2 linked regions of the Sus scrofa genome follow. The protein of the gene in region 2 interacts with the protein of the main gene of each other region in a pairwise test. Links are inferred from orthologs where the notes say so. Each region holds a gene or a part of one and is shown on either strand. Other genes may lie near its edges.

Region 1 (4,568 bases), about 31 Mb from region 2:
ATCTGGGACTGTTGCTGGGTTGGATATCAGAAAGTATTCAATTCATTTTCACAAAAATATGAGACATTTTTAGTTCAACTTCAGAAATGATCCCCCATTTCAATTCATGGGGGAAAGGATACAAAAAGGATTAGTAATTTCTGGTAAATATGCTTCATATAAATGAATTAATAGACTGTGTGTGCTGGAACACCTTGAGGCATTATTTCACTCCAGTGCCCTCTATTTTCAGATAAGGAAACTGAGGTCTAGAAGATGCACATTGGCTGCTAAAAATCGAATAGGCAAATAGTGTTAGAGACAGCACTTAAACTTCAGTCTGTGGATTCCCTGTGTAGAGCTGATGATGTATTTGATTCAAAAGATAATTCTAATAATATATGTCTCTAATGGGGACTCAATAGTCCTGCCTTATTAAACGTCTATCCCAAAGATCTAACAATTAAAGATAAACTGAAAAATCAGTCAGAAGTATATGAGAGTGCAAAAAATAATGCAGTCCATAGCGCTAATCCAGCATTTTCTCTTTTTGGACCACTGCACTCTCCTGTTAAAGCTACTGGCATATGTGGCAACAGCTGGGGAGACTGTTTCAGGTGGATTGATTTTTTGGCACCAGATTAGCAAGGCTGCAAGAAAGCATAAGAAGCACAAAATTAATGAGCTGGATTTTGCAGTGCTTTGTAGAAGTCTTACCTCATCACAGACATCTGGATTGTTCTTGTCTGACAAGAATTTTTCTACCACTGGCAGTTTATTCTCCAGGGCAGCTTTCAGAAACCTAGGCACATCCACAGGTTCTGTCTAAAGCCAGAAACACAGGGTGAAGGTTACCATGAGCTTCCAACATTCAGTCAAACCCCCCAACAGACATTCCTCTTAGCATAACACCGAGGCGTAATATTGCAAAACCAGACAACCCTTACAATGACTTCAGGTTCAGGTTCCTTCACAACTGGAACTTTCGTTTTCCTGTATTTTTTCCTTTTCTTCAGTTGAATGATTATTTCAAGGTCTTCTAAATTTTCAAGCTTTGATCTTTGTTCTAGTTTCTTCTTCTTGAGCTAAAAAAGAAATCCATGTTTCAGAATACAGTGAGTTCTACTGACAAGCATTCTGCTTGTGTCTAAACAAAATCTTTAAGATCCAAGCTAGGTATGTGAACGGTGTGAGCAGAAAAATAAGAAGTAAAAAAAATTAAAAATAAGTCTTTGACTTCAATTTAGTGATTTCTTATTCAGGTATTTTGAGGTCTAATTTTTCAGCTAATTGCCTTCATCTTCACATCTCGATGCTTGAAGCATGAACTTTTCATTAGAGATAGGATCTAGTCTCTAAGTGATGATTTTGTAATTATTTCTATAATGCTCATGATTTTTCTTTTAACTCAGAAGACTCCAGTGGTAAGTTTTAAGCTCTAAAATGTCAATGCCAGTGTCTCTCAGGTGCCCCACTAAGCAGAGCTCATGAAACAGACGGTCTTGTCCCAGGAACTACAGCTCACTAATGCATGTTTCATCTGTGGTTAGTAAGTAATGAAAGTTCACCCAGCAATACATTTGTCAGCACAGAAAGAGGCCACAGTCAAAGAGTGATCACAATGACCACAAACCACATCAGTGAGAAAAAGGAGGCTCCCTTGCTTGGGATTAACTTGGCAGTATATGACATCAGGAATTCACTGGACACGTTTCTCTTTCTGAGTCTGTCAGTCAGAACATGGTTATAGGACATTCAGTGATTGATTCTGAATCCAGAGGTCATAGTCTTGCCAAAGAATTATTTCCTACAGCTTCTCCCATTGAAGTTGCCTCTTTATCGGTTCGAATTTGGTAAAGAAATGTCATTGGAATGGTTGCATTCACTTTGTCTCTCTCCTCTCCTTCCTGCCTGGCACCTCCACCTCCAAGCTCCCTCTGGTGAATTTCATGGACGGTCCTTACCTCGGCCTCGCGCTCTTTCTCAATTTTCCACTGTTGTTCTCCCAGGCTCACAAAGTGGGCCGGAAGGGTTTTCAGGTCCTCTTGCTTCTCTAAAGTGACAGCAGCTTCATACTCTCCATCTCTGAAATCCTCAGGAAGGAACTCCCCAGCATCCCCACCGCCGTTCTTCTTCCCTGTAACCTGCAAGGGAAGGAGACAGCAGGGTCAGAAGTAGCAGGGCCTGTCCTGGGGTCGTTCTCCACAGAGGATGCGGCGAGAGCCCCTGGGCCTCCCTCTCTGCTGACAGTGGCCTCCATGCCCCACACTCTCAGATGGCAGGCCGCGATGCCTTGCTTCAGTGTTCTGGGATTATCTTCAAATGCTTGTCCTCCTGTCTTGGCTAAATCAAGGTTTAGGTTAGGTTGATGTATTTAAATCTACTTTTAATCCACTTAATCACATTTTTTCCTAGCAAAATCATAACAACCTCCCCCCACCCCGAGATTATTTAAAATTCTTTCATTTTAGGTACTTTTGATGATCCCTTGCCTTGCGTAGTAGCTTCCAGATATATATTCTTGCAATAGAACTTCTCCCCTAAGGCATTTTGGATAACTATATGTGATTCCACACTTTAGTAAGAAAACCGAAGAAGATAATAAATAGGAAGTAGGTAGAGAATTCATTCCTGGCAACTCCATCTTTTCCAGTTTCACTTATTTCACCACATAAACCAACCATTTTCCATATATGACACATTCAGAGTACCTATGCATTATGCCTGAAAGAAAAGGGCATTTCAATTTTCAAATAAAAATCAAGGCTGCACTGTTTTCCACTGTGTAAAATAATGCCTTACATACCAGCTCTTCTACTTTCAGAACCATCATGTTGACCTGAAGTTCGTCTGTATGGTTTTCTTCTGGGGGATGAACCCTGGAGTCAGCCCTTGGGAGCCCCTCCACTGCCGTCAGTTTATATAGCTAGGGCCGGGTGAGATAATCTTCCAACCTGGGAACCCAAGTAACAGCCCGCCCCCTCCTGTGGCCAACTCAGAGGCAGGTGAATTCTCATTCCAGACTCAGTGTCTGGGAAGCAGGAGAGGGAGGGGAGGGCAAGTAACCCCACTGAATATGTGAATCAGGAAGAAATGTGAGAGGGCCATTCCTTTGTCAGTGACCGCACCGCTCAGCAATGCAAGTCATCCTATTTATCGGGAAGCCAGGGGACAGCTGTCTGTTGACATTGCACCACACCGCTGCTCCTTTTCCTTCTTTGTCAGCTTTCATATGACCAAGCCTATCAGGAAAATGTAAATGCCCCGTGTATCACACCCCCAATAATATCTTTCTGATAACCAGACTTATCAACACGTCACTTGGGGGAAGTGTTGCTTTAGGACATCCTATTCCCGTGGGCAAACAGCCCAAGAGGAAAGGATCTGGGTCCTAATGGCCCTTGTCTATATCTGTTTGGAATTCTCTGGAGTGATGTCTGGGGCTAAAAAGGCCCCATGACATGCCACCTACCATCATTATAAGAAATTGAAAGCATTCAGTAACGCACTTCTGTTTTATGGTGTCACTGGCCATAATTAGCACATGACATGCTTTCTGCCTTCTAAAACAGCATACTTACTGGAGCAAGTAGTACTCAAAAAGTTTCTGAAATGTCTTGAGATAGGTTGTGTGAGACAACCTATGTAGTTATGGTACGACCTTGATTCGATCAGAGAGCCAGCGTTCTCAGGTGCTGTGGATAAAAGACTCACCTGTCGGAGCTTGTCAAAAAGACACATCCCTGGACCCCACTGTGGGACATTCTGAGTCGCTTTATGGTGAGTTCCTAGGAATCTGTATTTTTTTCAAAGCACTCAGCAATTCTGATGCATCAGGGTTTGAGACAGGTTGCATAGGAGCTGAGAGCTTTGCTTTGAGGTGCGGTGAAAATCCGTTTCTGGTTTCTCATCTCTGAGGTGTTAAATTATGTAAAAATATTTAGGTCTCCTTACAGTTCAAGGAGATACTGGAATTATTATCTCCATAGCCATTTAAACAACCCCTCCTTTGTTTTTCAGTAAAAGAAAGGAGGGCAGAGTGAGAGAAAGGGAGTCGGAATGGAGAAGTGTGTTAATTAGGATATTACATTGGCCTTTCTGTGTCCGTCACTCCCACAAATGTACCCACTCAACAAACACAGCTGCCATTCTCTTCCTCCTTGAACTAAGCAGCCCAGGGATGATTTTTCTGGAACTTTCAGAATGAGATATTGACACCCCCCCCCAAAAAAAAAAAAAAAAAACCAAAGGGCTGGTGAAGAAGGACCCTCCCAACAACTCCTGTGTGTCTGTTCTGGTCTCCTAATGTTCTATCCTAAAGGAGTTTTACTTAAAGGAAATTTACTGGTGTTTCCTTTGAGGTAGAGACAACTATTGCCATTTTCATTGGCTCTTTATCTAAGTAAGAAGTCGTCATTGAAGCTTTTCCTACCATTTCTTACACCTTTTTGTTTCAGGCCTGACCCAAACTGAGGGGAACTATGGAGGTATTTTTGAGGGAAGTGTCATGGGTTGTTTAAGCATCTTGAATATCAAATCCCAGAGCTGTTAGTGCCCTCAAGTTCAAGCAAGACCAATGCTTTCATTGC
Region 2 (4,358 bases):
ATACTACAGATAGAATGTATCAGAAAGCACTTGCTTTTATTCTTTTTATATTTTCTCTTTTTGCCTGTTTCTTTACTCGTACAAAAGAAAATCAGGGTTGGTTTCTTTCAGAAAAATTATGAACTTAAAATTCCACAGAGTGTTCCTTTAAAATACTTACTAAAAGAGAGAGTAGGCTTTCTGTTCATTTTTACCCTTAATTTTTTTCCCCCAAATACCACAGAAACATGAACTTTTAAATATGTACAGCAGTTATGGGCACCGCCTTAAGAGTTAACCTTAGATTTAAGCCTGGCTCAGTCACTTACTCATCGTGTGACCTTGGAGTTTTTAACCTCTTTCTAAGCTCCGGATTCTCATGGCAAAGTAAGAATTCTAATAGTACCTACTTCACAGATTGTTGAAGGAATATGTAAAACAAAGCACAATGTCCATAAAGAGCTTAGCATAGTTCCTAGCATATAGCTAAGGAATGTTAACTTATTTCTACTAAGATGATAAGTTTAGATGTGCATTAGTACATTTTATATATACACACACACACACACATATATATATATTTGCTTTTTAGGGCCATACATGAGGCATATGGATATTCCCAGGCTAGGGGTCCAATCAGAGCTGAAGCCGCCAGCCTACACCACAGCCACAGCAACAGCAATGCCGGATCCTTAACCCACTGAGTGAGGCCAGGGATCGAACCCATGTCTTCATGGATACTAGTTGGACTCATTACCGCTGAGCCACAAAGGGAACTCCTACAACCATTACATTAATGTGGTGAGCAATGGAAATCAACTGTGGGTGCAGGATTACACACCTGATACTAATTATCTTGGATGTCTTCAGTAACTTAATGTTAATCATAGATGCTCTTTAAAAAAAACCCAAAAAACAAAAAAACTAAAAAAACCCCTCTGGGAATAGATTTTCTTCTAGAAATAATACTTCCTAAAAAGTATAAATTTTGATATGTCCTTATATCAAACGCACAATAAAGGAAGCCTTACTGTGCTTTCATGGAAGCCACATAGTAAAGCTTTAATCTAATCCCCCCAAATGGGGGAGCATATATTAAGTTCATAATAATTGATAATTTCCCCAGATTTACTTCAATAAATATATCAACCATACACTCAACTTTGTATTAAGTGAAGGTGTTTACATGTGTCACATGCATCCTGCACACAGATATTTTGTGCATCCCTTATGTTTTATTCTTTAAAGTGTCATCATTATTACCCTTTTCATCAAATCTAAGGAGAAATCAAGTTAAGTCTTTTCCTTAGTCATCTTAGTCATTATCCACCCCCACCACCCATCCAGGATAAGAACATCGTGCAGACTGAGTTATTAAAGTGGATCCAAAAGAGCAATCTGTTCTAAATGACTGTCCCTGGATCTGCCACGGAACCCTGTAAATACCCTTCATTACTCTGGCGGGGCAGTATCACATTTCCTTCATGCTACTTTTGCGGCTGACACAAGTTAGGCAGTGAGATTTGGGCTTTGGATGTTCCTGGTTGATTGATATAAGGATGGTCTTTCTCCTGGGACAGGTAATCACAAATTTACTTTTCAGGATAAAAAGTATTCTATTTAGAGGGTTTTAAAAATGATTTTAGTTTTTAAAACTAAATAGGTTTTGAACTTAGAGCTTTTAACTGCTTTTTAGTTTGAGTTTTAAGCAAGTGGTTTCACTATCATTGAAACAAGAAAGACCTTTCTCAAGGATTTAAATGTAGTTCTCAATTACATGGGATCATGAGGTTTGTATAAGATCCTCTCTAATCCACATACATATATTGTTTTGGATGATCACGACCTTGTCTCTGGTGTATTCTTCTCATTAGCAATGTTTAGAAAATAATACATGTCTCTGTTCTTTAAAAATAAAATATAGGGGATTGTTGTTTTTTTCTTGTGATACTGGGGGGGAATAACTCAGTATAAATCTATGAACTTTAAGCAAAACTCATTGAAAATTTGGTAAATGTAAGAAATTTCTTTTAAAGAATAAAAATCTATAGCAAATGGGAAAAGAGCAAATACAAAAATTTAACCTGAATCTTAGTAGCACAGAAATTCTCACATGCTTATCCTCCAAGTGAAGACTTCCTCTGTCATAGATCTTCCAGATTCCTTGGCATTCCTGTGGATCACCCCAATGTGAGTAAATTGTTTCTATAGCTGAGTGACTGAATTAAGAAAACAGCTGAGGGCAAGCACAGGATCATGTTCAAGCCACAATGAACACGTGTTAGATGAGCCACTCAACTTTATGGGTTAGGCTTAAGGCATGTAAGCTTGTGTTTACTTGTCACTTATGGAATTTGTTTCTAACTATGTTGGATATATTTTTTCTTAAGTTTTAAAAATTATTCTTTGTATCAGTAAAGTCTGGTAAAATCTAATCTAGTAGATTTGTGGTGTAATACTTATACAATTACTAAGACGATACGCAAAGTAGGAGTTGCACTACTTGGGAGCAGAAACTAATTCTAAAAAAACTAGAATCTAGAATGCAAGTTTAATGTAGTACAAACAAGGTGTCCACAGTAGCTGAATATTATTTACTTAAAATGTTTATATCCAGCTCTTTTTCAAAGAGCTCAAAAAAGTTTGTACACTATCTGCATTTGAAAACATTACAGTAAAAATGAAGAGAAAGATGACTGCTATTCAGACATACTTGGGGTCCTTCTTCTGCAAGTCTTTTTTTTTTTTTCCCATTTCAAACTGATTTTAATTCTTCCTATTGATTCCTAATTCCATTGCCCAACCAACTGTATTTTATCTTTCAGTATGTATCTCCTGCCACCTCAGTATTCTATACCTGGGTGAAAGGTAGGATACCAGGCTTATCATGCGACAGTTTGCAGGGAAGTAGAAATGGGTTCACTTACAGTGTATAGAAGCATTTTCCTTTGGAAAACCAAATTTGTTAAATGAAGTTCCACTTTTCCATGTCCTTATTCAAGACTTAGCAGCACTTATGTTGACCATACCGCAAGATCTGAATAGGACAGTAGGGGAAGATTCTCTCTTTAAACAAAAAAATAAATTGTTGGAGCATGTACATACATAGAAAACACAGAAACACAACTAAGTAGTCTTTTAGTTTCAGGGCAGGATTAAGTAAGAGAGCAAACAAGCCTGTACACTGAAGATATAGCTTATGCAGTAATGAAAGTAACCTACCCATATAACTCTAATCCAATAACCTATCCATATAACATATCCATATATCCATATCCTTGTGCCCTCTTCCCTACTCAGGAATAGTTCCTTTGACCTGTATTATTTTCAAGTTTTCCTCAATACTCTTTTTCATTTTGCCCATTTCAAAGTTCCTAAACAGAAGGTATAGTGAAGTTTCTGATGTGATCATAATAAACAAATTTCATATCTATTCGATATACTGCAGGGAGTCTCACAGTAACTAAAAAAGGTAGAAAGATTTCTTAGTAAATGCCATGAGGTCAGGAATTGGGGTATATTTTGTGTACTGCTTTATATCCAGTACCTAGTACACAGTAGGCATAGGTAAATATTTGTCCAATGAATGAATGGGAAGAAATCCTACAAGCAGTTGTGTGATTTAATTAAGAAAGCTTGGGTTAAGCCAATGTATTTCATGCTATTCAAATCTAAGAATGATCTTTAAAAAAAACCAAATGACCAATGGCATTTATCTGATTTTTTAAAACACAGGCTTATTCCAAGATTGAAACAATAGGGTTAACCTTTTTTTTTCCAAATTAATACTCTGAAAATGCATGAAATTTATGTCAAAGAGCCTATACTTTTAACAAGGTAGATTTTGGGGCAGACATTGGTTTGGTTAAGGATTCTTTTTCATTGTTTGGTAATGCTTATGAAAGAAGAAATCTGGCATAGATTTTTTTTCAAAAATAATATACAAAAAGTTTATTCCAGGTACTACGAAATAACTAGCTGTTGTAATATGTTACATTATATAGTATTTTGACTTTTAAACAGTATCCTGATTAGTCTTTTTCTGAAAAAGTTATCCAAACTCATTTGTTACTGGGTTTATTCTCAGGCTGACGGCTTTCTCCTCTCCATTTTTTCTGTGATCGCTAATTAACAACTTTTTTTTTCTAGTTAACAACTTTTAATGTTTGTTATCGTCTGCTTTTGCTTAACCTTTGGACAAACAGTTCGAAAAACTCTCAGCTTTAAAATATTAGAACTTAGCTCCATACTGGCTTTTCATAGCCAAATTTCCTAAAATGTATCAGTGATTTAATGAGAATCAGTTTCTATTCCTTAAAACTAATTTCCTGAAAAGTTAAGGGCTTTGATATATTTTTAAAATAATGCCTCTTTTTTTG

What was found.
Region 1: the proteins of MYPN (region 2) and ANKRD1 interact in a two-hybrid assay, tested with the Homo sapiens proteins (2 studies listed by BioGRID). The link is inferred for Sus scrofa from reciprocal best matches to the Homo sapiens genes MYPN and ANKRD1.

The regions. Positions count from the first base shown.
Region 1 is NC_010456.5:102,609,967-102,614,534, forward strand, and holds the start of ANKRD1 (ankyrin repeat domain-containing protein 1), read right to left. Parts: upstream 2,873-4,568; 5' UTR 2,813-2,872; coding exon 2,786-2,812; intron 2,124-2,785; coding exon 1,944-2,123; intron 1,065-1,943; coding exon 927-1,064; intron 805-926; coding exon 697-804; intron 1-696. UniProt on the Homo sapiens protein: May play an important role in endothelial cell activation. May act as a nuclear transcription factor that negatively regulates the expression of cardiac genes. Induction seems to be correlated with apoptotic cell death in hepatoma cells.
Region 2 is NC_010456.5:71,297,413-71,301,770, forward strand, and holds the start of MYPN (myopalladin), read left to right. Parts: upstream 1-1,471; 5' UTR 1,472-1,559; intron 1,560-2,129; exon of another isoform or gene 2,130-4,358. UniProt on the Homo sapiens protein: Component of the sarcomere that tethers together nebulin (skeletal muscle) and nebulette (cardiac muscle) to alpha-actinin, at the Z lines.